4 linked regions of the Elephas maximus indicus genome follow. The protein of the gene in region 1 purifies or fractionates together with the protein of each later gene. This does not show direct contact. Links are inferred from orthologs where the notes say so. Each region holds a gene or a part of one and is shown in the gene's direction. Other genes may lie near its edges.

What was found.
Region 2: the proteins of KEAP1 (region 1) and SLK purify together in Homo sapiens (affinity purification with western blotting; 3 studies listed by BioGRID and IntAct, with this or other methods). This does not show direct contact. The link is inferred for Elephas maximus indicus from reciprocal best matches to the Homo sapiens genes KEAP1 and SLK.
Region 3: the proteins of KEAP1 (region 1) and TSC22D4 purify together in Homo sapiens (affinity purification with mass spectrometry; 4 studies listed by BioGRID and IntAct, counting the BioPlex papers as one, with this or other methods). This does not show direct contact. The link is inferred for Elephas maximus indicus from reciprocal best matches to the Homo sapiens genes KEAP1 and TSC22D4.
Region 4: the proteins of KEAP1 (region 1) and OTUD1 purify together in Homo sapiens (affinity purification with western blotting; 3 studies listed by BioGRID, with this or other methods). This does not show direct contact. The link is inferred for Elephas maximus indicus from reciprocal best matches to the Homo sapiens genes KEAP1 and OTUD1.

What each region holds. Positions count from the first base shown.
Region 1 is NC_064821.1:28,571,503-28,578,766, reverse strand, and holds the start of KEAP1 (kelch-like ECH-associated protein 1), read left to right. Parts: upstream 1-4,258; 5' UTR 4,259-4,534; intron 4,535-5,001; exon of another isoform or gene 5,002-5,091; intron 5,092-5,477; exon of another isoform or gene 5,478-5,541; intron 5,542-6,559; 5' UTR 6,560-6,606; coding exon 6,607-7,245; intron 7,246-7,264. Other genes in the region: S1PR5 (sphingosine 1-phosphate receptor 5), read left to right, coding at 1-861. UniProt on the Homo sapiens protein: Substrate-specific adapter of a BCR (BTB-CUL3-RBX1) E3 ubiquitin ligase complex that regulates the response to oxidative stress by targeting NFE2L2/NRF2 for ubiquitination.
Region 2 is NC_064834.1:55,422,048-55,429,177, forward strand, and holds the start of SLK (STE20-like serine/threonine-protein kinase), read left to right. Parts: upstream 1-4,113; 5' UTR 4,114-4,298; coding exon 4,299-4,448; intron 4,449-7,130. UniProt on the Homo sapiens protein: Mediates apoptosis and actin stress fiber dissolution.
Region 3 is NC_064830.1:91,887,602-91,895,230, reverse strand, and holds the start of TSC22D4 (TSC22 domain family protein 4), read left to right. Parts: upstream 1-4,614; 5' UTR 4,615-5,282; intron 5,283-5,755; 5' UTR 5,756-6,017; coding exon 6,018-6,779; intron 6,780-7,629.
Region 4 is NC_064822.1:32,368,406-32,375,850, reverse strand, and holds OTUD1 (OTU domain-containing protein 1), read left to right. Parts: upstream 1-4,441; 5' UTR 4,442-4,538; coding exon 4,539-5,975; 3' UTR 5,976-7,179; downstream 7,180-7,445. UniProt on the Homo sapiens protein: Deubiquitinating enzyme that specifically hydrolyzes 'Lys-63'-linked polyubiquitin to monoubiquitin.

The sequences.
Region 1 (7,264 bases):
GGCGGCGTCTTCGTGGCGCTCGCTGCGTCCGTGCTGAGTCTCCTGGCCATCGCGCTCGAGCGCCGCTTCACCATGGCGCACCGGGGACCCGCGCCCGCCGCCCGGCGGGGGCGCACGTTGGCGCTGGCGGCCGCCGCCTGGGGCGCGTCGCTGCTCATCGGGCTGTTGCCGGGGCTCGGTTGGAACTGCCTGGGCCGCCTAGACTCCTGCTCCACAGTGCTGCCCCTCTACGCCAAGGCCTACGTGCTCTTCTGCGTGGTCGCGTTCGTCAGCATCCTGGCCGCCATCTGTGTGCTCTATGCGCGCATCTACTGCCAGGTGCGCGCTAACTCGCGGCGCCTGCGGGCGCGACCCGGGGCTAGCGGGGGCGCCTCGGACCGGGCGCGTCGCACGCCGCGCACGCTGGCGCTGCTGCGCACGCTCAGCGTGGTGCTCCTGGCCTTCGTGGCGTGCTGGGGTCCCCTCTTCCTACTGTTGCTGCTCGACGTGGCATGCCCGGCGCGCGCCTGCCCAGTGCTCCTGCAGGCTGACCCCTTCCTGGGCCTGGCCATGGCCAATTCGCTTCTGAATCCCATTATCTACACGTTCACCAACAGCGACCTGCGCCACGCGCTCCTGCGTCTCGTCTGTTGCGGCCGTCGCCCCTGTGGCCTAGGCCAGGGTGATTCCAGGCGGCCCGGGAGCGAGGCTGGGGCTTCCGGCGGCCTGCGCCAATGGCTGCCTCCCTGCACTGATGGCAGCTCCAGCCACTCTGAGCGCTCGTCGCCCCGACGGGATGGGCTGGACACCAGCGGCTCCATTGGCAGCCCCGGCGCACCCATGGGTGCCCAGACCCTGGTGCCCATGCCCACTGCAGACTGATGCCTCAGGCCCGCCATTGCCTTCCCTAAGAGCTATTTTGCAGACTTTTTTGCTTTAAATAAAGGAACCTGTAGGAAACGCAGCCAAAGACACAGGGCAGATATATTAATTGAAGTCAAACCCTATTTATTGAGTGCCTACTGTGTGCCAAGCTCTATATTAGTCACTAGGGACACAGCAGTGAACAAAACAGACTACATCTTGCCTTTGTGGTACTGAAACTCTGGTCCAGGAAGAAATAAACGCGATAATTCCAGTAATAATACAATCATGGTGTCAGTGATGGTGGTCACCTGAACAAAGGGCACTTCAGGAGGAAGGAATTGCAGGTGCAAAGGCCCTGAGGCTGTTGTGTTCAATGAAAAGCAAGGATCCTGGTGTGTCTGACAGAGAGTTGGTGGGGGAGTGCAGGAGGAGGCAAGGGAACAGATTGTGTAGGGTCTTGTGGGGGAAGGGGAGGACTTTGGTTTTGCTCTAAATGAGATGGCAACCATGGAGGGTTCTGAACAGAGGAGCCAGGTGACCTCGCTCGGGTGTTCACAGGCTCCCTCTGGCCACTGTGGAGACAGGCTGTGGGGAATGAGGTGATGGTGCTGGCCCAGGAAAGCCATGATAGGAACACCAACCAGGCTCAGACCAAGCGGTTACCGTACAGATTTTGGAGGCAGTGAACAAAATTACCAAGGAATTGGGTATGGGGTGAAGGAAAGAAAGAAATCAAGGATGACTCCCCACTTTAGAGGCAAGGAAGCCAGGGACAGGGCACCCCAAAATTTGAGAGATTCAGCCAAATCCTGTCTGAGCACAAAATTTTCTTGAGTGCAGTGTCGATCCCTCATTATAAAAAAAATAATAATAAATTTAAAGTTAATAACATTTACAGTTTATTGACGGCACTGGGCTTTTTGGTTTAGTCGCCTTAACAAATCCTAGGCTGAGGACACACATTTGGTTTTTTTCTCACCCTTACAGCAACTTTGCAAGGTAGATTTTGTCACCTCCATTTGACAGATGAGGAAACTGAGGCTCCAAGCAGTGAGCACCTTGCTGCAGTGTTTTCAGCCGGGATTCCAGCCCAGGCAGTCAGGCTCCCAGGCCCAGGGGGCCTCAGGTCTAGCGTCTGGCTCCTCCCGACGATTCCAACCGACACTCCCAAACCCCAGGGGTCTGCATTCTCAGCCAGGGGTGCTACCAGGCCCCTTTGTGCCCATAAAAGGCTCCAGGCACGCTGGCCACAGCCCCGGCACGTCCCGAGGAGCATTCCTGACCCCTGAGTTGTCGGCGGCCGGGGGAGGGGTGGGGGGCGTCGGGTTTTCACTGTGGTGTGCCACCTGGTGGGAGGTCTCGGAACTGCAGGCAGCCAGACGGCGGTGTTTTTGCAGGGCCGGGGGCCTGTCCTGGGGACCGTCTCCGCGGGCCATACCTGGGCCGCCCCTGAAGGTTACACGCCTGAGAAACCAACCTGTTTCTTGAAATATACATACACAAGCTTGGGGGTCACAGTCCCAGGACGCTTCTGGGATTGGACCCAATTCCACCCTTGCCCTAGTGCCCCTAGTCCGGACGCTCTTCTAAACTTCCAAGGGAGTCTGGGGCCTTCCCAGACATTTCACCCCATTGTTCGATGGCGAGATGGTAGGGGACTTATTGAATTGTTTACATCTCACAAAATTGAAAAACAAACAAAAAAAACACCCATTTCCCTTTCCTGGATTCGATCTTGGGAAACTTCCAGAGCTGTCTGTGAATAAATAAGCTGAAAGGAGTTTTGATCATGTAATAATAGGTCTTGGAGATTGTTGCACGTATGCACATTTTATTCTGCTTTGTTCTTATATCTTTTTTTTTTTTCAGTTAAACATTCATAGAGTAAATGTCTAAATGTCTTGCTCCTTTTAACCGATTGCATAGTATTTCACAGCATGGCTGTAAAAGAAAAGCTGTGCCCATCACTTATTAAGCCACGTCCCCATGGAGTGACATTTGGGTTGAGTCCAATCCACACTATACACAGGGCTGCAATAAACCTCCCTGGACATAAATCCTCCTGCACGCGTATCAGTGTATCTTGGATAAATCCCTACGAATGGCACTGCTGGGTCACAGGGCGTGAAGGTTTGATTTATAGATAGGCAAGGTTGCCTTGGGGCACGTGCGAGGAGGGTGCGTGTTTCCCCACAGCCTGGGCACTCAGCGTATTCGCCGACTATGAAACAGCGCTCCCCACCCCCGCCGCCCCGGAGAGGATAGGGACTGTAGTTTCACGCAAAGGGGTTGGGGGGGAAACCCCACACCAATTTCGGGCACCAGTTTAATTTCAGATCCTGGTGGCTTACGGAATCCTTTCGTAGACCAACAGCTCTTCATTTCAGCGTCTCCCCAAACTTCATCCCCTTCTATTACTTAGTTTTCATTTAGATGGACTCCTTTTAAACTAAACTTAAACACATTTATTTAAAAGTTAACTTTGTATCATAAACGGTGCAAATGGCTGTTTCAATTATCTAGTGCTGCTATAACAGAAATAGCACAGTGGGTGTCTTTAACAAACAGAAATTAATTTTCTCACAGTTTAGGAGGCTAGGAGTCCAAATTCAGGGTGCCGGCTCTTGGAAACCCTGGTGGCCTAGTGGTTAAGTGCTACAGTGCTAACCAAAGGGTTGGCAGTTCGAATCCTCCAGTCGCTCCTAGGAAACTCTATGGGGCAGCTCTACCCTGTCCTATAGGGTCACTGTAAGTCTGAATCTACTCGACGGCACTGGGTTTGGTTTGCTTTGGCTCTAGGGGAAGGCTTTCTCTCTGTGTAGGCTCTGGAAGAAGGTCTTCGTCTTTTCTGAGCTTCCTGGGTGATCTTCATGTAGCTTGGCATCTCTCTTTCCTTTTCTGCTTGGTTGTTTAATATCTCAAAAGAGACTGACTCAAGACACACTCTACACTAATCCTGCTCATTAACATAACAAAGACAACCCATTCCCAAATGGGTTATAACCGCTAGCATAAGAGGTTAAGCTTTGCAACACATATTTTTGGAGGACACAATTCAATCCGTGATAGTGGCAAATCAGTATCCCTTGTCATGAAAAATAATTGTTCATATCTATTGGGCGCTCGCCTTCGCATTTAGTCCTTACAACAACCTAGCCGGTAAAAGGTCCTATTATTTTACCATTTTACAGGCAGGAAACTAAGAGCTGCGGGAGGCAGAGCCGGGGTTCGAACTCCGGCAGGTGAGCTTCACGCGTCTCTTAATCAGAGGTAATAAATAAAGACAACAAAATCCCAACTATGCAGGTAATTCTGGCGGGATCCTGCGTGCGCCAGAATGCGAGGCCTGTGCCGTGTGCAGTTACAGGGAGAGGAGCAGGTCGCGGACAGCAACCCTGCGCTGGGACGCTCTGGCCACGAACTCAGGATGGAGCAACAGCGCTCAGGGGGAATGGTCCCGGCGGGCCCGGAGCCCCGCTGGCCTCGGATGGGCGCCCCGCACCTGAGGGAAGGGCGGGGAATCGCGGCTCCTTCCCCACCGCGCCCTCCCCACCCTCTCCCCGCCTCCTTCCCGGGCGTCCCGAGGCTGCCCCCCACGCGACGGCGGCGACCCCGCAGGCTGCGCCGCCCCGGATCGGAGGCCCTGCGACGGCGGAGGCGCCAGCGGATCCCCGACGGCGGAGGTCAGGTAGGAGCCGCCGCGGCCCGGCCGCTGCCCTTCAGGCTTCCCGGAAGGGCCGCGCGCGCGCGGGTGGCACCGCCGTGCCCCGAGCCGCCGCGGTGACTCAGGCATCCCCACCGTCAGCGAGAGCTACGGAGGCGACGAGGAGGCCGAGATGAGCGCGGCGGCAGCGGCGGGGAGCGGTGGCCACCGGGTCCCCGGTGCGGGTTGGGGAACGCCGGGCCTCGAACTACCGGGTGTAATCCTCGCGGCTCCGGCCGCGCGGGTGGGGGCCCCCGCAGAGGACCGGTCCCCGGCCGCGCGCACGGTAATGGCCGTCTCTGTGGTGGCCTCACAGGGGCGGTGCAGCTTGGCGACCGCGGGCGGGGGCGGGAGGTGGCCGCTCTCGCGTTCCCGCGGCGCCGCCAGAGGCCCGGGCCGCGGGGACTTTTATTCTGACACGGCGGGCCCCGGCTCTGCTTAGTCATGGTGACCTGCGCGCTCCGCGCCTCCCCCCGCCGCGCGGCGATGGAGGCGCCGGGGCCCCGGCGGCGGAGGCGGAGCCCGAGCGCGGCCATGGCGGGGTGAGTGAGGCGACCTGTGCCCGGGCTGCGGGCACCGCGGGCCGCGAGCGCCCGAGCGACCGTGCCTGAGGAGCGGGGAGCGGGGCGTCGCAGGCCAGGGCGCCTCGGGGTTCCCCGCGGCCTGGAACGGCCAGGAGACGGGTCCGGGGTCCGATCCTTTTGTTGGACTGCACGACCCTTGGGTTGGCCCGAGAGGAAAGAAAACAGGGCGGGAGGCTCAGGGAGCGCCGATCGCACGGAGGCGCGGGGACCCCGAGGCGTTGGGGGGACCCGTTCCATCCTCTGGGGCTGGCAGGCGAGAGGCCGCGGCGGGGTCACTTCCTGCCTTCTCCAAGTCTTGGTGGCGGCCCATGCGGGGCATGCGCAGTCCGCACTGGGCGCTTCGTTGGGGGAGTGCCCGGTGGCCAGGGGGCACCAGTGATCGATTGGCCGAAGGTGGAGAGGCAGTCGGTACGGGAGAGGGAGCCAAGCTGCGCCCTGGGTCCGGGTGGAAGAGGGCGCAGTGGGGTGGGCAGGCAGCCAGACGGCCCCGTGTTTACTGAGCCCTGCGCAGTGTCAGGCCCGGGGCAGGACGTGGGGGTGGCACGGCGGGGGAAGGCACAGCAGTGATCTAGACAGGGGCCCCCCCGGCCTGCCGGAGCGCTGAGGCTGTGTGTGAGAAGGATGGCCAATTCCTCAACAACAAGCCATGGAGATCCTTTCAGTTCCTGACAAGTGCTGTGATGAAAATGCATGAGGGAGGTGGTGACTGCATTTCAATGAGGAGGAGAACCTAGCCGCCCCTTGCAGATTCACCCCCCACCCTCCAGGCCAGCTAGTGTGGAAACCTTTCAAAACACATCGCAGACCTGGCCCTCTGCGACCTTGGGCTTTATGCAAGCCCAGCTCCTTGTCTCCCACCATACTCTCAGCAGCTTTACTCCTCCTCCTGGATTCTCCAGGTTTCCGCTCCAGCCTTACTGATTTTATTTATGGTCCTTTCCTCCCCTAATGTCAGCTCCACAGAGGGCAGGGGGTTTTGTCTGTCTTGCCCACTGCTGTGTCCCCAGTGCCTAGAACAGTACCTGGCACACAGTAGGCACTCAATAAGTGTTTGTGAGGTGAATAAAGGAATGATCTTGGCGTGCTGTAGGAAGGGCATGCTCCAGATGGCTGGGACAGAGAGAGCAAAGGGAAGAGGCTGCAGGGGCTGACCGGGCCTCTGAGGAGTTCGGTTTCATTCTTAGTGTCTTGGGGAGTTGTCAGAGGATTCTGAGCAGGGGAGGGACATGGCCTGACCTAGGTTTTAAGATGGGCCCTTGGGCTGGTAAGGCTGGGGACAATTAGGAAGCTGGAATGAATGCTGCTCTATCTGGTTCCCTCGGGAAGGAAAGCTGATCTGAGAATGGCTTTATCTTACAAAAGGAGGCCTGGCCGGTGCTGGCCCAGCCCCAGGCCCTGCCCCCAGCCCTGTGCTCTCCTCCTCCAGGGCCCTGAGTGCCAGTGGTGGTGTTGTCCCTCATCGCCAGGAGCCTCATGCAGCTGGAACCCAAGCCTAGCAGGGCTGGGGCCCACAGCCGATTCCTGCCCCTGCAGTCGCAGTGCCCCGAGGGGGCAGGGGACGCAGTGATGTATGCCTCTACCGAGTGTAAGGCCGAGGTGACGCCCTCCCAGCATGGCAACCGCACCTTCAGCTACACACTGGAGGACCACACCAAACAGGCCTTCGGGATCATGAACGAGCTGCGGCTCAGCCAGCAGCTCTGTGACGTCACCCTGCAGGTCAAGTATGAGGATGCGCCAGCTGCCCAGTTCATGGCCCACAAGGTGGTGCTGGCCTCATCCAGCCCTGTCTTTAAGGCCATGTTCACCAACGGGCTGCGGGAGCAGGGCATGGAGGTGGTATCCATCGAGGGCATCCACCCCAAGGTCATGGAGCGCCTCATTGAGTTCGCCTACACGGCTTCCATCTCCATGGGCGAGAAATGTGTGCTCCACGTCATGAACGGCGCTGTCATGTACCAGATTGACAGCGTCGTCCGTGCCTGCAGTGACTTCCTGGTGCAGCAGCTGGACCCCAGCAACGCCATCGGCATTGCCAACTTCGCTGAGCAGATCGGCTGTGCTGAGCTGCACCAGCGCGCCCGCGAGTACATCTACATGCATTTCGGGGAGGTGAGCGTGGAGGAAGGTG
Region 2 (7,130 bases), on another chromosome or scaffold:
TTAAAGAGGTCTTTTGCAGCAGATTTGCCCAATGCAATGAGTCTTTTGATTTCTTGACTGCTGCTTCTGTGGGTGTTGATTATGGATCCAAGTAAAACGAAATCCTTGACAACTTTGTTGGTAGGAGTGCAAATTGGTACAACCTTTCTAGAGGCCAGTTTGGCAACATAGGTAAAAAAAAATTTAAATACTCTTTGACTCAGCAGTTTCACTTCTTGAAATTTATCTTAAGGAAGTATAATCAGACAAATATACAAAGATGCTTGCATATGCATGCTCACTGTAGTGTTGTTTATGATTGCAAAAAATTGGAAATATCTTAAACACGGACCAATAGAGAAATAGTTAAATAAATTATGGTACACTATATACTGGGGCTCCATGCAGCAATTAAAAAAGATTAGGTAGGCATATTTGTACTGGCAAGGAAAGATGTCCACGATTCATTGAAAGTGGAAAAACAGTTCAGATAAAAGTAGTTGTCAGGCGATATTATTTGAATATTAAAAAAAAACAAAGTATGTAGAAAAAAATCTAGTAAGGTATATAAGTAGATCTATCTATTTTTGGAAACCCTGGCGGCGGAGTGGTTAAGTGCTATGGCTGCCAACCAAAGGGTCAGCAGTTGGAATCCGCCAGGCGCTCCTTGGAAACTTTATGGGGCAGTTCTACTCTGTCCTATAGGGTCGCTATGAGTTGGAATCGACTCAACAGCACTGGGTTTTACTGGGTATCTATTTTTAAAAGGTTTATTGAGGTATAATTTACATATTATAAAATTCACCCATTGTAAATGTACAACTCACTGATTTTTAGTGAATTTATACAGTTATGCAACCATTATCACAATCCAGTTTTAGAACCTTCTTATCACCCCAAAAAGTTCCCTCATGCTTATAGGCTTAATTTTTTGGCTTTAACAAAGAGAAGTTTATTCTCTCACCGTCTTTTAGGCTAGGTGTCCAAATTCAGGGTGTCTGCTCCAGGGGAGGCTTTCTTTCTCTGTCGGCCCTGGAGGAAGGTCCTTGTCATCAATCTTCCTCTGGTCAAGAAGATTCTCAGCACAGGAACCTCTGGTCTAAAGGACGTTCTCTGCTGCTGTCATTGTCATAGGCTTAATTTTTAACAGTGGTTAGGTTAGGGGTGGAGTTGGTGGTGGGATGGAAGGAAAGGAGAATTATAGACAGTTTTCTAGTTTATTATTTCTGTATTGCTTGAATTATTTACAAGTGTATAAAAATCCCAAAAAACTCATTGCCATTGAGTTGATTCTGACTCATAGTGACCCTACAGGACAGAGTAGAACTGCCCCATAGGGTTTCCAAGGAGCGGCTGGTAGAGTTAAACCATCAGCCTTTTGGCTAGTAGCCTAATGCTTAACCACTGTGCAACCAGGGCTCAGCAACAAGTGTATACTACCTTTTAATTTGAGAAAACAGGAGAGTTCTCCATTTTGAAAAGAACCCAAAATCTACTTCTCATATTTATTCTAAGGAAATGATCAAGTATATGGAAAAGAATTTGTGTATAAATAAATATCAAAGACATTTATCAACGTTTTACATAAAACAAAAAAAATTGTTAAGTAATCTGCCTCATGATGGAACAGAAGAATTATTAATGATACTGGAATGTAAAAAGTTCTGGGTAAAAACTTTTATATGCAGTATGACCTCATCATGTAAAAAAAAAAATTAACGTATATCCCCCCCCCAAAAAAAAAAACTTGTTTGGAAATATAATGAAATCTTACTGACGGTTATCTTTGAACGGCAGAATTACAATATCTTTGTGCGTTTCTGCATTTTCCACAATGAGCGTGCATTTTCTTTATATTTAGTCTCATTTCCATAAATGTTATCAATTAAAAATAGAGAGGTTAATTATGGTATTGTTTTTACAGGTGTATACATTTGTCAAAATGTATAAAATTGTAGATTTTAAATATTTACAGCCTATTTTTTTATTATATATTAATTATGGAGCTCTGGTGGCTCAGCGGTTAAGAGCTCAGCTGCTAACCAAAAGGTCAGCAGTTGGAATCCACCAGCCATTCCTTGGAAACCCTATGGGGCAATACCACTTTGTCCTACAGGGTCACTATGAGTTGGAGTCCAATGGATGGCAACTGGTATTATATATTAATTACACCTGAATAAAGCTGTTAAAAAAATTGGAGATTGCTTAATCTTCATAACTCTTTTACTGGAAGAGGGATTTTATTTCTATTACACCATTTTCGGGCTGGAGTAGGGCATAAAGGTTGGGAAGGAGTTGATCGACATCCTCTAAATAGCAATACTACCTCTGCCCCAGATGCTTTCATTTTTTTTGGCTTCAACAAAGAGAAATGTATTGTCTCACAGTCCAGTAGGCTTCATGTCCAAATTCAGGGCGTCAGCTCCAGGGGAAGGCTTTCTCTGTCTGTTCTGGAGGAAGGTTCTTGTCATCAATCTTCCCCTGGACTAGGAAATTCTCTGCATAGGAACCCCGGGTCCAAAGGACGGGCTCTGCTCTCAGCACTGCTGTCTTGGTGGCCAGATACCTTCACTGATGGATTGATTGATTCATTCAAAGGACCTGCCTTCCTACTACACACCAGAAATGTTATCAGGTATTTGTATACCATGATGAACAAACCACTGCTCTCAGAAAAGTTCCAATCTGGTTGGAGGAGGGGGAAGGTAGGTCACCATCTGACAGATTCCAGACAACGCCCACATCACTGCCAAGCAGACCTTGACCCCTGTGCTGCCCTAAGGGACCAGAGCAGGTCAGAAAGCAAGGGCCTTAGTAAGTAGTTCAGGTGGTCAAGAATAAATGATACCATGATTATGGCCGTGAAAGTGGCCAGAAGGTAGGTTACTCTCAAAAGAGTATCAGGGTTATCACTTGAGAAACCCACTGCCCTAGAGTCGATTGGACTCATAGCGACTTCATAGGACAGAGTAGAACTGCCCATAGAGTTTCCAAAGAGCGCCTGGTGGATTCGAACTGCCTACCTCTTGGTTAACAGCAGTAGCACTTAACCACTATGCCACCAGGGCTTTCATCACTTGAGAAGTGAGCTTAAAGAATTTTTATGTATCTAAATCTATTTATCTTACTCACACATTTATAACGTTAAGAACTAAGGTTGATCGTTTCTGGTTTACTCAGCAAAGGGCTTACATCCATTGTCTCATTTACTCCCCACCACGACCCCTCAGGCAGGGACTCTGCTACTTTTTTTCACAAATGAGAAAACTGAGACTGAGAGGTTACCTGCCAGAGGTCACAGAGCTGGAAAGCTTAGGCTCTTCAACGCCTAAGCTCCAGCCACCACATACACTCCCCTTCATTGTACTCTGGGGCCCTTTCAGGGAGGAAAAAGTCCACTTCCGGACCCCAGCCAGACTGCTCAGTTTTCGCTCTTCAATCTCAAAATTTTCCAGATGCAGATTTAACAACTGCTGGCACAACCAACAGGGTCATGCCCACTGGTGCAACTCCACCAAAACCGCGGACTGACATGGATTTGTATCTTGATGGGTAAACTCCAGGCAGCGACCCCATCCGAGCCTCCAGCGCGGGGCCAAACGCGCGTGCGCGGGGCCAGAGGGGACGCCCCTGCGCGGGCGCGCGGTGAGCGGGGCGCGCGGCCCGGTGAGCGCGCGGCCGGGGCGAGCCTCGGCGGCGTCGGCGTCGGCAGCGCGCGCTCCGGGTCGCAGCAGTGTGGGCTGGGGAGGGAGCGAGGCAGCGGCGGCGGCGCCCCAGAGCCGAGGGGACGCGCCGGCCTCGCGCCGCAGGAGCAGACGGCCGCGGAGGAGACCCCGGGCTCGGGGCCCGAGGCGGGAGAGCTCGGCCTCTCGACCGCCCACCTCAGAGGTCGCCGTGCGCTTCCCTCGCCTGGAGCGGCCGCCGCCCCTGGAGACTCGCCGTGACACGGGCCTAAGCCGCGGCCGCCGCGGGCGTCCGGGCCGCTGGGACCCCTGCCCCCGTCGGGCCGGGCCGGGCCAGGCCGGGCCGGGGGGAACGCGCGGCCGCGCAGGTGCGGCCCCCCAGGGCGGCCCGGGCCGAGGCGCCCACCGCGCTGCTCGCGCGCGGCCGGGCTCGGCGGGAGGGGCCGCCCTCGCAGCCCCCCCCGCGAGCCGGAGCCCGAGCCCAGCCGCCGCCCCGCCTTCCCCGGCGGCGGCCCGACCCGAGCGGCGGGAGCCGGAGCCCCAGCGCCCGGCGGCTCGCGCGAGACCGGAGGGAGGAGAAACTTTGCCTTTTATTGTTGTGTGTAGTCCTGAAGTGCCAGGAACTCTGTGGGAAGAATGTCCTTCTTCAATTTCCGTAAGATCTTCAAGTTGGGGAGCGAGAGGAAGAAAAAGCAGTACGAGCATGTGAAGAGGGACCTGAACCCCGAGGACTTTTGGGAAATCATAGGCGAATTGGGCGACGGAGCCTTTGGGAAAGTGTACAAGGTAAGAAGGAGGGAACGGGAAGTTGCACTTGGTGGATGAAACGGCCACTGGTCCGCGGTGGCTCGGGAGCTGCTCGCTGTCCTTGTCCCTTTTCTGTGTCTTGCCCCTTCATTTGACTTTGTAAACGTGCACTGGAACTGTGTCTAGGGTGTTATCCAAGGAGTAGCCTAGACAGTGGAGGTTAAGGTTAAACAAGGTGGGGTCTGAATATTTTTCAAGAGTGGTTGCAAAAGGGAGGCCAGATTATACGGTCTACTTTGTCAAACTTTGAAGGAAGCGAGGGCGTTCTTCAATTAAAGAGAGGCATCTGCGTTGTGTCTCTTAAATAGTTTAACATCTGAGACTCATACTTTTCATTGGATTTTGTAATGTTCGTTTACTGTTTGAATTAATACGCGTGCTTATACTAAAATAGTTCCCTTTTTTAGGGTCCAGGCCATATATTTGGTCGTATCTATAGCTGATACGGAGCCGTGGTGGCTCAGTGGTTAAGAGCTCTCGTGCTAACCACCAGTTCGGCAGTTCAAATCCACCAGCCGCTGCCTGGAAACCCTGTGGGGTAGTTCTACTCTGTCCTGTACAGTCGCTGTGAGTCGGAATCGACTCGACGGCGACGGGTGTAGCTGATACTGCCTGGCTGTCTTCCGATGAGAGCAAAATTATTGCTACTGGCAGACTTTTTTTGAGTTGGTTGCTTGACAACATACTTTAATGGAATGGAATTTCGGATAGAAGATTTCCAGAAGAAAATCTGCAAGTGGTACGAGTTTCTAAACATAATAAGCTTTGACTGGGAGTCAATGCTGATGCCTAAGAAATGAAACACACACACACATACATACATTTCTACATATTTATTTTAATAAAAAGCTGTTTGGGGTTTCAACCTGTTACCTATTTACTGTCGTCTAAGAAGCATAGGAATGATGTCATAGAAATATTTTCACCCTGAAAGGGTGAGGTTTTTCATGAGACACAGTTTAGGGGAACGGGCCATAGGGGTTGCCTAGAAGGAAAACATAAATAACTTGTGCAGTTTTTCAAGCGCTCTCACCTAATGGGGCCTCACAAAAATCCTGTGAGGTGGGCAGGTCAGTAGCAGTGTCAACATCTCACAGAGGAGGAGGACACTGAGACTCAAACTGGTCAGTCACACCAGTCAGAGCCTGGATTTGAACTCAGGTCTTCTGACCCTGTAATTAGTACTTTTTTTTTTTTTTAATTTCATGTCCATGGGTAGAAATAATAGCATTTCCCCTGCTTTCTAAGCACTGTCACACTTCTTTTTGCCCCTGCCCTGCCTCAGATGCATCTTCTCCCACCCTGGTCCTTCTCATTCTTTAGAGCTGTACTTACCTATCATCTCCGATTCCTCCAGGCAGACATATCCAGTCCTATGTTCTTTCTAACACATCTTTCATGTAGCTAGTATAGCCCTTGTCCCATATTGTCGTTAGCGTGTTTATGTTTCTGTGGTAAGGCCAGGGGCCAACACAGTCATACACGTGTGGCCACATAGACTGCCTTAGCAGATGGTGCATCTCTGTGAATTTACTGAAATGAAATAATGCGTGTTTATTATTACATGTAAATGTTACTGAAGCCATTGTATGATGCAAAAGTTGGCAAAGTAAACTTTAGTGTTTGTGTGGCGGATAGAGTCATGTGTCTCAGCAAGCACTTACCATATAGCTGTATGGTAGGAATATTCTTTTAATGTAGTGGGAAGATCAGTCCTGGGAGCCAAGCCTTGTGTTTGAGTCCTGGCTGTCACAAACCAGCTTTGTGGTCTTGGACAAAACACTTCTTTGGATTAATTTTTCTTAGCTGTTAAAATCGTAGATTTCCATAAATGTTTGTTTAGTTTCCTTCATCCTTGAACATTCTATGAGTATGCAGTTAACTAAACCCATTGCCATGGAGTCGATTCCGACTCATAGCGACCCCGTAGGACAGAGCAGAACTGCCCCATAGGGTTTCCAAGGCTGCAATCTTAAAGGAAGCAGATTGCCACCTCTTTCTCCCATGGAGTGCCTGGTGGGCTCAATCTGCAGACCTTTCGGTTACAGCCGAGCGCTTTATCCATTGAGCCAGTAGGGCTCCCTTTTATGGACTAGAGACTAATATTTTATTGTACTTTAGATGAAATTTTATAGAGCAAACTAGCTTCTCATTAAACAGTACACATTTTGTTTTATGACATTGGTTAACAACCCCACGATGTGTCAACACTCTCCCTTCTCTACCCTGGGTTCCCTATTACCAGCTTTCCTGTCCCCTCCTGCCTTCTAGTCTTCGCCCCTGGGCCAGTGTGTCCCTTTAGTCTCGTTTTGTTTTATGGGCCTGTCTAATATCTGGATGATGGGTGTACCTCAGGAGTGACTTCATTACTGAGCTGAAAGGGTGTCTGGGGGGTCATACCTTCAGGGTTTCTTCAGTCTCTGTCAGGCCAGTAAGTCTGGTCTTTTTCTGTGAGTTAGAATTTTGTTCTACATTTTTCTCCAGCTCTCTCTGGGACCCTCTATTATAATCCCCATCAGAGCAGTCAGTGGCAGTAGCCAGGCACCATCTAGTTTTACTGGACTCAGTCTGGTGGTGGCTGTTGTAGTTGTGGTCCGTTAGTCCTTTGGACTAATCTTTCCCTTGAGTCTTTAGTTTTCTTAAGTCTCCCTTGCTCCCGGA
Region 3 (7,629 bases), on another chromosome or scaffold:
CCAGCAGGGTGCCTGCTCCCTTGGCCGCGCCGCCTTTTCCCCTCCGCCTCCCAGGTGCGGGGGGAGGGCGCGGGAGCTGGCTCGCTTGGGCTGGGTCTCCTCCCGCTGCAGCCTCCCAGGCGCCGGGACCTTGTTTCTTCGCCTAGGCTCAAAGTCTTCCACCCGTCCTCCCATGCAATCCAAGTCATCCACCCCATAACCTTTGACTCTGCCGGCGCCCTCCGCCAGGACCTGAGCGCACCAGGGTCCGAATCCTGACTTCGACCACCGCGGCCATGGCCCAGGTGCGGTGGCGGCGGCCACTGAGGATCGCGACTTCGGCCCCCTCCCTTTCAGTCACCTTTCTCGTCAGCTCCCTGAGAAATTGCTTCCTCGGAAAGCCCTTTGGCGCAGGGCTCTTAGGGTAAATTAACTGCAAGAAGACGGGTTTTTGCATTAACTGGCTATGTGACCTTGGGCAAATCGAGCAACCTTTCTGAGGTGTCTTATCTGCTGCCTAAGTTAATAGAATTTGAGATGAGAGGGTGGTCATTAGAATAATAGCTGCAAAAGGGCTTCACACAAAAGGGCTTCACACTTTAGGGGCTATTATAAATGCCCCCAGGAGAGGTAACACATTAAAGTGTTATTAGTCGTTTCCCATTTACACTTTAGTGTGAATGAATTTATATTTATTTATTCAACAAACTTCTCAGCAGAGACCTACTGTGTCCTAGGGTCTGTAGAAATGGAGTGGAGTCCAAGAAACTGACTGCCTGAGGGGTGGGAAAGGGTTGATGCCCAGAGCCAGAGAGTCCAAAGATTAAAAAAATAATAATAAGTTTTAAATAATTCGTGGAGTGTCAGTGATGAAGAAAGGAGGGCCGAGGGCAGAGCAGGCAGGGTTGTGTTTTGAGTGTTGCCAGATCGGGGAGAGGTGGGGACTTGGGGGGGGGGGCATATGGAAGGCTGCTTCCAGGACTTCACACTTGGGAGGCCTCATGACCAGGCTTAGGATTGTAGGCGTTGTTATCATGGCTAAAGGAAGAGAGGCAGGGGTCCAGATGCATTTTAATCAACAAAGAATAAATATATAAAGGAGGGTGGTATTTTATTTTTTGCTCAACCCTAAAGAGTGGTTAAGGAGCCCTGGTGGCACAGTAGTTAAAGTAATTGACTGCTAACCAAAAAGGTCGATGGTTCGAAACCACCAGGTGCTCGGTGGGAGAAAGATGTGGCAGTGTGCTTTCCACAGAGATTTACAGCTTGGAAACCCTATGGGGTCACTATGAGTCAGAATCAACTCCAAGCTTGGCAGTGGGTTCTTTGGTTTGAAAGAGTGGTTAGAAATTTCCATGAGATGAAGCCGAGGGAGGAGGGATGTGGGAAAGAGAGGGATGGTGGGAAGAGCCCTGAACTGGGAGTCAGAAAGCCCAGTGCTAGTCTTAGTTATAAAATACTAGCTCCGGGACCTTGGGCAAATGACCCAGTGTTTCTGAGCCTCAGTTTCCTTAGCAGAAACACTGGAGCTCAAAAGCCACCCTTTTTCCTCCCAGGGCTGTTTTGAAAATCCAGTGAGATACTTATGCAAAGTAGACAAATGTGAGGAATTTTTAATGTACTTGAGACCAGTTCCCTTTGATGGAAATGAATTAGAATCCATTTTCTTTTGAACCTGGGAGTGAAGGTAGACCTAGCCGTTAGAAACTGCTTTTGTTAAAATAATCCCTTTCAGAATGTTAGTTGGGGGTGGTTTAAAAAAAAAAAAAAAACAGAGAAGATGACAGTTGGAGGTTTATTTCTTCATGCCAAGCACATAGTAGGTCCTTAGTAAGTGTGTATGGATTCTCCTTCATAATACTAATGGATGGGGTAGGAGAGTGTATACATTGTCTATTTGCATTGCACATGCAGACAGGTTGTGCCTCAAAATTCCAGGCAGCTGTAAGACTGCTAGGAATGAGACACATAGAACCACTGGCATCAACCATTCTTTGGGTGCTGTGTTTATCTGTGATCAAGCCAGACCCACAAGACATTTAAATCCATTGCTGTGGAATTGATTCCAACTCATAGCAACCCTATAGGACAGAGTAAAACTGCCCCAGAGGGTTTCCAACTGCTATCCTTTTGGTTGGCAACTGAGCTCTTAACCATTGCACCATCAGGGCTCCATTGTTTCCAGAATGCAAACGAAAACAACAGAATCTCCAAGGGGAAATGCTTGCCCTTCCCCAAATTACCCATATCCATTTTTTTATTCTTATGTCGCTGGGCAGGCGCTCTGTGGTTCAAGTCAGACGCTGTTTTTACATCCACCACCACACTGCCCTGCCGGAGGCTTCTGCTCTGCTGCTGGGCCTTACCTCTCTGGTGGGAAGACCCCTGCACAGGATCTCCCAAGCCTCTGCCACTGGGCCCTTCTTCTTCTTCTTTTTTTTAATGATTTTTATTGTGCTTTAAGTGAAAGTTTACAAATCAAGTCAGTCTCACATAAAAACTTACATGCACCTTGCTACATACTCCCAATTACTCTCCCCCTCATGAGACAAAAAAAAAAAAAAAAATTTTTTTTTTTTTTTAATGAGACAGCCTGCTCTCTCCCTCCACTCTCTCTTTTCATGTCTATTTCGCCAGCTTCTAACCCCCTCCACCCTCTCATCTCCCCTCCAGGCAGGAGATGCCAACATAGTCTCAAGTGTCCACCTGATCCAAGAAGCTCACTCCTCACCAGCATCCCTCTCCAACCCATTGTCCAGTCCAATCCACGTCTGAAGAGTTGGCTTCAGGAATGGTTCCTGTCCTGGGCCAACAGAAGCTCTGGGGGCCATGACCACTGGGGTCCTTCCAGTCTCATACCATTAAGTCTGGTCTTTTTATGAGAATTGGGGTCAGCATCCCACTGCTTTCCTGCTCCCTCAGGGGTACTCTGTTGTGTTCCCTGTCAGGGCAGTCATCAGTTGTAGCCAGGCACCATCTAGTTCTTCTGGTCTCAGGATGATGTAGTCTCTGGTTCATGTGGCGCTTTCTGTCTCTTGGGCTCGCAATTACCTGTGTCCTTGATGTTCTTCATTCTCCTTTGATCCAGGTGGCTTGAGACCAATTGATGCTTCTTAGATGGCTGCTTGCTAGCGTTTAAGACCCCAGATGGCCATTGGGCCCTTCTAAGTCTCTGCCACTGGCTCTCACCATACCACCCAGGCTTGCACTGTCTGAGGGCCTGTGTGGCTCCTGCCACACTGCTCAAGGGGGGTGGGAAGTGTGTGTAGCCCTTGTACAGGGCATACTCAGGCCTCTCTTGCCCTGCACAAGTAAGCTTTACAGTTCTTCTGGCTCCCCGGACAGGCGTCCTGCTCAAAGGTGCTCAGCTATTGCTCAGTGGGCCAGCAAGCCTACTGCCTGTCTCTCACTGTCTTCAGTGTTACAGTTCTTTCTTCTGGGTCTAGGAGGTTCTTGGTGCAAGGACCCTGGGTCCTTGGTTCAAAGGATGTACTGTGCTCCAGATTCTTCTTGAACCTCTGTGGGATTGACCCTTATATAAGCCTAAACCAGAAACCAAATCCACTGCCATCCAGTGGATTCCAAATCATAGCAACCCTACAGGACAGAGAAGAACTGCCCCATAGTGTTTCCAAGGCTGTAAACCTTCACAGAAGCAGACTACCACATTTTTCTCCCATGGAGTAGCTGGTGGCTTCAAACCTCTGACCTATCAGTTAGTAGCCAACAGCTGCCAGGGCTCTCTTTATATGAGCCTATGTCAATTTCAACAAATGACCCTCCCATCAGGACCACAAGCTGCCAATCACCTCAGTAGACCATAAATCATTGAGTTTGCATAGTTCTAGCCAATCGTTCTGTGGGATTTACAAAACCGTGCCCTTAGAAAGGCCATATAAAAGCCATTCTTTACACCTCAGAGAGGTAGGAAGGATTAGCGGTAGGGGAGGGAGTCTATGCTTCTGACCAGCCAGGGATGCATCTGTGTGGGTGACTGTGTGTATAAACACGTGTGTCCAGCAATTGGAGAGAAAGTGCAAGTCAGCACCTGCATCTGTGTGTCTGTGCATGTTTTTATATTTGGGGGCTAGCCGAGGACACACCTGAGTATGTGGTGTCCCTGCTCTACCACTGACAGCCTTTTTGAACCTCCTGGGTCTTAATTTCCACATCTAAGAAGGGCGATATATGATGTCTGGCATTTGATTTTAGATACTCGAGCCAAATACAACAAAAGATATTGGTGGGTAGACACGAAACAAAATTAGCTGTGAGTTGATAATTGCTTAAACTAGAATGATGGGAGCTCATTATACTGTTCTCTACTTTTGTACATGTTTGCAATTTTCCTTAATATACTTTTTAAAACAAGGGGGGGCGGGGATTAATAGTACCTTCCTCATACAGTTACTGTGAAGACCAAAAAAGTTACAACTAGTAACAGCTACAGCAGCATCATAAGTTTTACTAGGCACTTATGAGTTTTTTTTTTTTTTATGGGGTACCAGGCACCCAATACAGTGCCTGGTGTATTCCTTCCGACTCTTATGTGTGTCTGTAGGCCAATGCCCGCACTTGCCTACAAGTAGGGGAATCCCTCGCCTCCCTGCAAACTCCTCCCCTTTCTCTCCGCCCTCCACAGCCCCTCCCTCCGAGGAAGAGCTGGGCTCGGGCCCAGCAGGTGTGGGGTTAAGGGAGCCTGTTTGGGGCCCCAAGATCAGCAGCAGCAACTGCAACAGCCGTGGCGGCTGTGGCAGGCCTGGCCCCCGGCCAAGTGGCCGGGAGCCCCAGGAAGGAGGGAAGAAGGGAGGGGGAAGAGGGAAAGGAGGCGGAGGAGAGAAGCAGTCAGCAGGCCCGAGGAGGCAGGACTTCCTGGTGTGGGGGTTGTCAACAGCCCAGAAGGGGAAAGACAGAGACCAAGAGCGAGAGGAGCTGAGGAGCAGAGACAGAACCAGCGTTGCCACGCGGGAGGAGACTTGGGACAGCCATTCGCCAAGACCACCGACGCCAGCTGCCCCAGGGGGAGGCTTTCCATTTGGAAGAGCGGCGGGCGAGCCGCCCCCTCCCAAATTGGTTGGGAGACGCCTGGGGCTTCAGAGGCCGAGCCTAGGCTCCATCCTAGAGGTTCCTTGCTTTTCTGGAGAGCAAACTTTCCCCGGAGATGCCTTGTGGGGTGAGGTGCGGCCCCCGAAGAGGACTGGGCAGCCTGTGATCGCCGCCTGCTCTCGGCGCTGTGGGGGCCGGAGGCACCAGGGGAAGGACAGCCTGACACCTTAGCCAGGACCCCCAGCTCGGCCTGAGAGGTAGGACTCTGGGCTGGGCGGGGCGCTGGGGCGGGGGTAGGGGTGGGGGGCAGGGCATGCTTGGCGGCCCCAGCCCCCTGGATGTGGGAGCTGGTATGGGGTCTTGAGGCCAGGCCGAGGAGCTGCTTCACCTCTGTTCACCTGGGCCACGGAGCCCTTGCCTTAGGGACTTTCGGGCCCTGTGAATTGTAATCCAAGGCAAGAAGTGCCAAACTTTGGGGCATGTCTGCCTCTTCCTGCTCCGTGCGCCCTCTGGGATCGCAGCCTTCCGCGCTCTGATCTCTGCCATCTCTGCCAGACTCTTTGTCTCTGGGTCTCTGGTGGTTTCCCCTTCCTCCCCACCCCCCCGCCCCACATCATGCTCCCCAGAGAGGAAGCCCCAGAGGTGGCCTGCCCACTGCTTTCTCTCTCTCACACACAATATAGGCACATACACTCCCTCACTCACTCTCTCTCTCTCTCTCTCTTTCCAGTTTGCAAACTCAGCTGTGGAGTTCGATAGCGACAGCAGCAGGAAAAACCTGCCCTTTCCACCCCCCCTTCCCTACCCTGTTCTCCCTTCACCAACCAGGCACCCCCAGCTCCCCAAGACCCTCCTGCCATGTCGGACCCAGATGTCCCCAGGGGCTCTGATGTCCCCGCCATGTGGCCTCCCTGTTCCAGGGGCGCCTGAGCCTCTGCGAGGAGCCCCAGCCGCCCCCGCCCACCTCGGCCTAGTCCTGAGTCCCAGGGACTATGAGTGGGGGCAAGAAGAAGAGTAGTTTCCAAATCACCAGCGTCACCACGGACTATGAGGGCCCAGGGAGCCCGGGGGGTGCAGACTCCCCTACCCCACCGGCCCCCACCAGGCCCCCACTCCGGCTGCCCAACGGGGAGCCCAACCCTGAGCCAGGGGGCAAGGGCACCCCCCGGAACGGCTCCCCACCGCCTGGGGCCCCCGCTTCCCGTTTCCGGGTGGTAAAGCTGCCCCAGGGTCTGGGAGAGCCTTATCGCCGAGGTCGGTGGACGTGTGTGGATGTTTACGATAGAGACCTGGAGCCCCCTAACTTCGGCCGCCTACTGGAGGGAATTCGAGGGGCCTCGGGGGGCACTGGAGGCAGGTCATTGGATTCCAGGTTGGAGGTGGCCAGCTTGGGCCTGGGCACCCCCACCCCACAGCCAGGCCTGTCTCAGGGCCCCACCTCCTGGCTCCGCCCGCCCCCCACCTCACCCGGACCTCAGGCCCGCTCCTTAACCAGAGGGCTGGGCCAGATGGCGGTAACCGGCAAGGCAATGGTGGAAACATCCCCCCTGTCGGCCTCCCCGCCCCAGCAGCGCCCCCCAGAGCCTGGGACCCGGGATAGCGAGGGCACATCCCGGGCCCCCACCCCCCTGCCCTCCCTGAGGGTGGAAGTGGAGCCTAGGAATTCAGCAGCGGGGACTCCTCCACTGTCCCGAAGGAATGATGGAGCCCTGCAGCTGAGGATGGAGTTGGTGGCTCCAGAGGAGACAGGGCAGGTAAGAGCAGGTCCCAGGGTGAAGGAGACACCTGGGGGGCAGTGCTCATCCATCTCAGTCTTGGCCTAACTTCCATCCTGGGCCTCCTGCCTCCACCTCCATACTGCCTTCCGTCCTCACTCCATTATCCTCTATCTGCTCAGTAGCCTCTCCTTTCTCTTCCTGCCACCTCACTTTGAGGTCCATTCCTACTCCTTACCGCACTTTGTTTTCTCTCAGGTTCCCCCTCCACTGTGTTCTGCATTTTCTATCCCTTTGGTTTTAATTTGTTGCCTTTGTCCCTCATCTCTGTGGTCCAGTTCTAGCCTCTCCACCTCTCTGTGGCTTCCTCACTTTGGCCTTCACCTTATCTTGGTCTCACTCCTTCCCCCCAACTCCAGGAGTTGAGGGTGGAGGCCCCAGTAGGGCTGGGCAGTTGGGCCTCTGAGGAAGGAGCTTCCAGGGTTTTGGGGGATAGGAGCAAAAAGTAAGCATTCCACTGTAAGCCGTTTTCTCCATGGCAGCCCCATTCTGCATGTGGGGTCTTCTGTCTTCTCCACTAGCCCCCATCTGAGCCCCATTTTCATCTATGAATAAAGTCAAGTTTCTCTTCCTGAAGAATTGGGTTCGGGGGCACATTATAGGAATAGGGGGCTTGCTAGTTTCCCTTCTCCACCCCCAGTTCCGTAGGTCTCTCCAGGGGGTGGCCACCATTGAGTGCTACCTTCCTTGGGAGAAGGTGGAAAGCAGCTGAGAAAGAGTTAAGTCATCTGCTCTTTCTGCTTCCGGTCTCCAAAAGAGGAACAAACCAGGGGGAGGCCAGGATGCCTGGGTCCCTGGGGGGGGGGCAACTAGGGATGTGGGGGCTGTA
Region 4 (7,445 bases), on another chromosome or scaffold:
TCAATCGCCACATATGCATATGAAAGCTGGACAATGAATAAGAAAGACCTAAGAAGAATTAATGCCTTTGAATTATCGTGTTGGCAAAAAATATTGAATATAGTGTGGACTGCCAAAATGAAAAAAATCTGTCTTGGAAGAAGTACAGCCAGAATGCTCATTAGAAGCAAGAATGGTGAGACTTTGTCTCACATACTTTGGACATGTTGTCAGGAGGGTCTGTTCCCTGAAGAAGGACATTGTGCTTGATAAAATACAGGGTCAGCACAAAAGAGGGAGACCCTCAACAAGATGGACTGACACAGTGGCTTCAACAATGGGCCCAAACATAGCAACGACTGCGAGGATGGCACAGAAGTGGGCAGTGTTTTGTTCTGTTGTACGTAGGGTCGCTATGAGTTGGAATCAACTCCATAGCACCTAAAAACAACAACATTCATTTACTATGCAATTATCATTTAGTATTCTATAAACTTCCACCAAATTTTTGCACAGTACTAAAATACGCTGGACAAATGATTCTCCAGAATGGAATCATTAGTAATTCTCTTCAGATGGAATAATGAGGAGATTGTTTAGGAATCATATTCGTCTCCCTTTCTTTTCCACTCTTTACTATCACTTGCAAGACCTTGCTTTCTCTTAGCTTCCAAAGGTGCGAAACAATCTCCTGTTTCCAAGGTTGGCAATGATTCCTACTCTGAAGGTTTCCTGAAGTATCACCTCCTTCTGGAAACTTTCCTGATTTAGATATAGAGTGAATACTGACTGCCAGAGTGAATATGCATTGTTGCACAACCTACCCCCCCCACACTAACTAAAAAGGAAAAAAAAAAGAAGCCTTTATGTATTTTAGAGTTTTGAATCTTCCCATCTTCGTTTAAATGCTGTTTCTAATTTAGCATATCATACTTAGCTTGGCTTCTGTGTACCTTGTCGTTAGGTGCCGGCGAGTCAGCTCTGACTCAACAATCGTTGCTATGCTTGAGCCCATCATTGCAGCCACTGTGTTAATCCATCTCATTGAGGGTCTTCCTATCTTTCATTGATATTGTTCTCCAGGGAATGGTCCCTCCTGATAACATGTCCAAATTATGCTGAGACAAAGCCTCGCCATCCTGGCTTCTAAGGAGCATTCTTCCAAGACAGATTTGTTCATTCTTCTGGCAGTCCACGTTATATTCAATATTCTTTGCCAACACCATGATTCAAAGGCATCAATTCTTCTTTGGTCTTCCTTATTCATTGCCTAGCTTTCACATGCATGTGAGGCAACTGAAAACACCATGGCTTGGGTCAGGTGTGCCTTAGTCCTCTCACAGTGACATCTTTACTTTTTAACACTTGAAATAGGTCTTTTGCAACAGATTTGCCCAATGCAATACGTCATTTGATTTTTGACCGCTGCTTCCATGGGTGTTGATTGTGGATTCAAATAAAATGAAATCCTTGAAAACTTCAATTTTTTCTCTGTTTATTCTGATGTTGCTTATTGGTCGAGTTGTGAGGATTTTTTTTTTTTATGTTGAGGCGTAATCCATACTAAAGGTTGTGTTATTTTTTTCCGTGTTTATCCCAACCTGTTAAAACACATTCTTGCTTTAGGGATTTAAAGCCTCCTGTTGTGCAAGCTGTGCTATGTACACAATGAGTACTCAGTAAATAGTATTTGAGGATTATCTTATTGTTATTAGTATTGTCTTCTGTTTTAGTACATTGGCTATGGCTACAGGTGGAGTTCAGTTTGAAGAGCTTACTGCACAGAAAAAAAAAAAAAAAACTGCACAGAGCAACAGATAATCAACAAACCCGTGATGGAATCTAAGTAAATTCCCTTTTCTAGTTAGCGATGGGACTGACTACGGGCTTCCAGTGGGGTTAGTCACCAAAACTTGAAAAGGTGGTTGGACAGTTGTTTTGCCTTCTCTTGAGTTGATTTACCTACAAGGTTGGAGTGACCTGAGCAAACCGCTGTTGCCGGGATCCTGCCAATCCTACCTCCCATAGCAAATAGAAAGCCCTGGTAGGGTGGTAGACTTGGATTGTAGTTCTGGCTTCCCCACTAACAGAAGTCTTGCGAAACTAGGTTCCCATTTATTCAGTAAATATTAATGAACTCCAACTATGTGCCAGGCACTGTGCTCAGGGATGAAAATGTAATAGTGGACAAGAGAAGGTATTTCTGCTCGTGGAATTTACATTCTAGCAGAAGGGCGTGGGGAGAGGGACCCATACCATGACCTACAGGCTCAGTTTCTTCTTCATCTCTAAAATGGTGGGACAGAGTCCATGGGTGGTGCAATCAATTAACAAGTCAGCTGCTAACTGAACGGTTGGAGGTTCAAGCTCACGCAGAGGAGCCTGGGAAAAAAAGGCCTGGTGATCTACTTAAAAAACATTTAAGAAAAATACAAATTGAAGTAAGAGGTTTTAATTCTTCTTGTTGAATATAAGGGAAGAGGTTCCCGTCCTCCCTCATTCTCCCAGAATTTACTTTAGATAAATCGTAAATTCTTTCTTTGTCTCTTTGAAAAGTATGTAAACCTGCCTCCTCCAGGATCTGGCAGCTACCTCTCTGAATTATAACTGCAGGTGATCCTTCCCTAGCAGCCTGTTTCCTGGAAGGAGATTAACATTAAATTACCTCAGGTGGCCCAGCCCCAAACTGCAAATCTCTGTCCTGTCATGAAGAGACTAGAAAATTAACAAAGTTATCTTGAAAACATATATGCAATGAGTTGCATCCGCTTAGCTATATAAAGGGCCAGATTCCTTTCCGTCTTTGCAATCTCTTTAGCAGATTGCTTGTGATGATCACATTGTGGTGTAATGCTTATTCAACAATAAAACTTGTCTATTTCTAGTTTTGTGGAAAGGTTTTCTGGGTTGGGAGTTGATATTATTTTTCAGTAGCTTTTACCGAACATGAAAAATCAGCCATTGAAAGCCCTATGGAGTACAGGTCCACTCTGACATACATGAGGTCGCCAGAAATTGGTGTGGGCTCCACTGAGATCTTTTTTTTCTTTTTTTGATGGTGACATAATCTCCAGGTCCAATTTGAACTTTTTAGACCCTGCTGATTTAACATTTGGAAATCCTGGTGGCATGGTGGTTAACTGCTTTGGCTGCTACCCAAAAGGCTGGCAGTTCAAATTCACCAGGCAGCCCTTGGAAACTCCATGGGGCAGTTCTACTCTGTCCTATAGGGCCGCTGTGAAGTCGGAATCCACTGGAGGGTACCGGGTTTTTTTTTTTTTTTTATTTAGCATTTGGTCAAAGCTTTGAAAATATGAATATTCTTTTACAAAGAGGGCAATACTAAGATAGTTCAGTAAAAATGTTTTCAATATCCTACTGTTTTTTTTTCCGGGTACTCCCTCTTCAGGATCCAATTCACGACTCACTCTACCCGTCCATAACCTATGAGTGCGACTGCACACTTTAAAAAGATTAAAAGAAAGGCTGTTTTAAGGGCTTCCTTTCGACCAAAGAACGCGCCAGCTGACTGGTAGGAGTTAGACAAGCCGCAAAGTTAGTTTCGTTTCTGCAGGGCAGAAACACCCTAGGCGGGCGGGGGGAACCACGAGGCTTTAGCGTTTTTACCCAAGAAACTAGGTCAAAAAGACGACAGTGGTGAACGCAAGCAGGAGTGATAGCCCAGGAACCTGCAGGGGACAAACACGTTTAAGGCAGCTCTGTCCTCCACACCGAGTTCGGAAGCCTCTCCGAAAAGCACGCTTTCAAAGCACTCTAGCTTGCCCCAGACAGCGCCTATCCCGCCAGTCCGCCGAGAGCGGTACAGCGCGGAAACCTGTGGCTGTGGCAGGCGAAGCGCTCCGCAGCAGTCACCCGGGCTCCGACCAGGAAGCCCACGGCCGAGCAGGCCATTAAGCCTTAGCGCTCCCCCGCCCGAGGCCCCGCGCGCGCGCCCGCCACCCGGCCCGCCAGAGCGCGGCGAGCTCAGCCGGCCACGCCCGTGACGTACGCCCAGCGGCAGGCGGGCGCGGGCCGGAGGGGGCGGGGCGAACCCTAGCGAGTGAATGGGGCGCAGCGACGAGCCGCACATTCCAGCGGGGCCACGTGACCCGGCCGCGCGGTCTGAGGTAAACAAGCCGCGGCTCCGCCCCCGGCCCCCTCCGCGCGCCCTGCACTGCTTCTCGCCAGCGGGACGCGCTCCAGCGGGGCGGGCGGCTTCCTCCGACAGTCCCCAGCGCCCGCCGCGGGCCGGAGCGAGGGGAGCGGGCACGGTGCCCCGGGTCTGCGGGCCGAGTGCGCCGGCAGGGGTCGAGCGCGCGTCGCCTCCCCGCCCCCACCGCACGCTGTGGCGCAGCAGGAATTTGGCGGGGACCCGGGCGCTATTTGCGGTTCTTGACGCTCTGCAGGAGGCTGCTGGTGGCCCTTCGCTCATCGCTATTCTCGGGGCACTGGGTCATAGCTCTCGGCCGGCAGCGACCGGCCCCCTCCCCCTGGCCCGGAGGGTGTGTCCCCGCACGGGGGCTCGCTGCGCCTATAAGGGTTGAGCGGCGGGTAGGGAGATGCAGCTCTACAGCAGCGTCTGCACCCACTACCCAGCCGGGGCACCGGGTCCCACGGCCGCAGCCGCCGCCGCGCCCGCCGCCGCCGCCCCCTTCAAGGTCTCCTTGCAGCCGCCGGGACCCGCCAGCAGCGCGCCAGAGCCCGAGACCGGTGAGTGCCAGCCCGCCGCGGCCGCCGAGCCCAGGGAAGCCGCCGCCGCCGCCGCCGCCGCCAAGATGCCCGCCTTCTCCTCCTGCTTCGAGATGGTGTCCGGGGCCGCCGCCCCCGCCTCGGCCGTCGCCGCCAGCCCGGCCGGCGGGTCCTGCAAGCCGCCGCTGCCGCCGCACTACACGTCCACGGCGCAGATCACCGTGCGGGCCCTCGGCGCCGACAGGCTGCTTCTGCACGGGCCCGAGCCCGGCGCCCCGGCGCCCGCCGCCGCCCCGCGCGGCCGCTGCCTCCTGCTGGCCCCGACGCCCGGCGCCCCGGTCCCGCCGCGCCGGGGCTCCTCCGCCTGGCTGCTGGAGGAGCTGCTGAGGCCCGACGGCCCCGAGCCCGCCGGCCTGGACGCGGCCCGGGACGGGCCCGACAGAAACTTCCGACTGAGCGAGCACCGCCAGGCCCTGGCGGCCGCCAAGCACCGAGGCCCCGGGCCGCCCCCGGGGAGCCCGGAGCCTGGCCCCGGCTTGTGGAGCGAGGAGCACCCGGCGGAGAGGAGCCCCCGGGGCTGGGAGACGGGCGGCGACTCTGCGGGCGCGGACGAGGCGCGGCGGCCCGACCCGGAGGCCGAGGCGCCCCCCACGAGGGGCGGCGAGGGCGCCCAGAGAAGCGCGGCGGAGGCGGGAATCGTCGCCAGGTCGGATCCCAGAGACGAGAAACTGGCCCTGTACCTGGCGGAGGTGGAGAAGCAGGACAAGTACCTGCGACAGAGGAATAAGTACCGATTTCACATCATTCCCGACGGCAATTGCCTCTACCGAGCGGTCAGCAAGACGGTGTACGGAAACCAGAGCCTGCACCGGGAGCTGAGGGAACAGACGGTGCACTACATCGCTGATCATCTCGACCACTTCAGCCCCCTGATCGAGGGGGACGTGGGGGAGTTTCTCATCGCCGCGGCCCAAGACGGGGCGTGGGCCGGGTACCCCGAACTGCTGGCGATGGGACAGATGCTGAATGTGAATATACATTTAACGACAGGAGGGAGGTTGGAGAGCCCCACCGTGTCTACCATGATCCACTATTTGGGCCCCGAGGATTCCCTAAGGCCTAGTATTTGGCTCAGTTGGCTCAGCAATGGACACTATGATGCGGTATTTGATCACTCATACCCTAACCCGGAGTATGACAATTGGTGCAAACAAACTCAAGTGCAAAGAAAACGCGATGAAGAGCTTGCCAAATCCATGGCAATATCTCTATCCAAAATGTATATTGAACAAAATGCATGCTCTTGAAATGTTTGAAAACCAACACCCTGGGAAAATTGCCTAAGTAGCTTGTGTTTGGAGAATTACACGAACTCAGAGTAATAGCACTTTTAAACTTCCTCGTAGATGTACTGTAGATGTAATGCCTTAATCTTGGTTTTTTTTTTTTTTTTTCCTGTTTTCTCCCCAGAGCTGAAGATTGCTGGGCACCTAAATGATGTTTTATGAGAGCTTTGGGTAATCCTACTGCTATTTATAATTTGCTGTATAAAGTTAGCACTACTTGATTTGCAAGCTAATTTCTCACAGTGTAAATTCGTTCATTCCTGGCAGTCTATTTTCTATAAAAATGTATTTTTGCACAACACTTTTAAAAATTGGTGTACCTTCATCTGTGACGTGTTCCGTTTTGACAAACAGCTTTCAGGCATAATTCCAGAGAAGTGCTTTATATGAAGTCTATCGTTTTGAACAGAGTTTGTGATTTAATAGTTATTTTATGTTGTTGAAATTTGGATTTTACAATTCTTAGATAATTATTTCAGATAGGTATCGATGAGTTCATGTTATCAGATTATTGGCCCATTCCATTTTGTTTAAACGGAAACAGATTTGTCGTTTTGGGATCTTTATTTTTCTAGAAATGGTCAGTCTTTTAAAGAAGTACTTAAGGGAACGTTGCGGGGAGATTTTTTTTTTTTTTTTTTTAGGGGTAGTACCAGCACTTACTTGAATGAGAGTCAGAGATTTGCAGATGGCAGAGTGATTCTTCTGTACTCTGGTTGATGTTTAAGTAGATTGTCTGGTGCTCTCAGTTTGTATTTGTCATTTTGTTATAGAAGGATTTTCACATGGTATAAAACTTTGTGACAAGATAAGCCTCCTGCTTTGTATAGCTACTTGGATTCACCCAAGGTATTTAAAAACTAATAGCATAAATGCCTCCAACTTTGGCAGTTATTTTATAGCAGGAGAATATTGTCTTAATATTCTCAAGGCAAAATAGGATTGCCCTGTATTATATAAAAATGTTTGTAAGCAGAGCTTATATGGTTTGCTGGGTCAAACAATGTTACCAACCTGAAATCTATCTCATTTCCACATTAACTATTTTGGTCATATTTATTAAGTAATGCAGTTTGTACTTTTTTATTTTGTAACATTTTGTGATTTTTGTACATTTCTGTATTTGTACAATAGATCAATTCTCAGCTGATGGAATGAATGAATAAAATGCATAATTTTACTTTTAAATGCCTTTTTGGATAAAGTGATTTTAAAATGATATGTCTTCTGTTAGGAACCTTTCTTACATGCACACTGTTTGCTTTTTTTTCCATGTGTGAAGTTGCCCCAGAGTAATGAGAGCGTTTTTCTAAAGCTTCAATGAACAGGATTGGGTAATCGTTACCAATTTCAAAAGGATAAATCTCACAGTGAAGTGTAGTTTAAAGGTGGAGTAACTAAAGAAATTGCTTTCATTACTTCTAATTATCA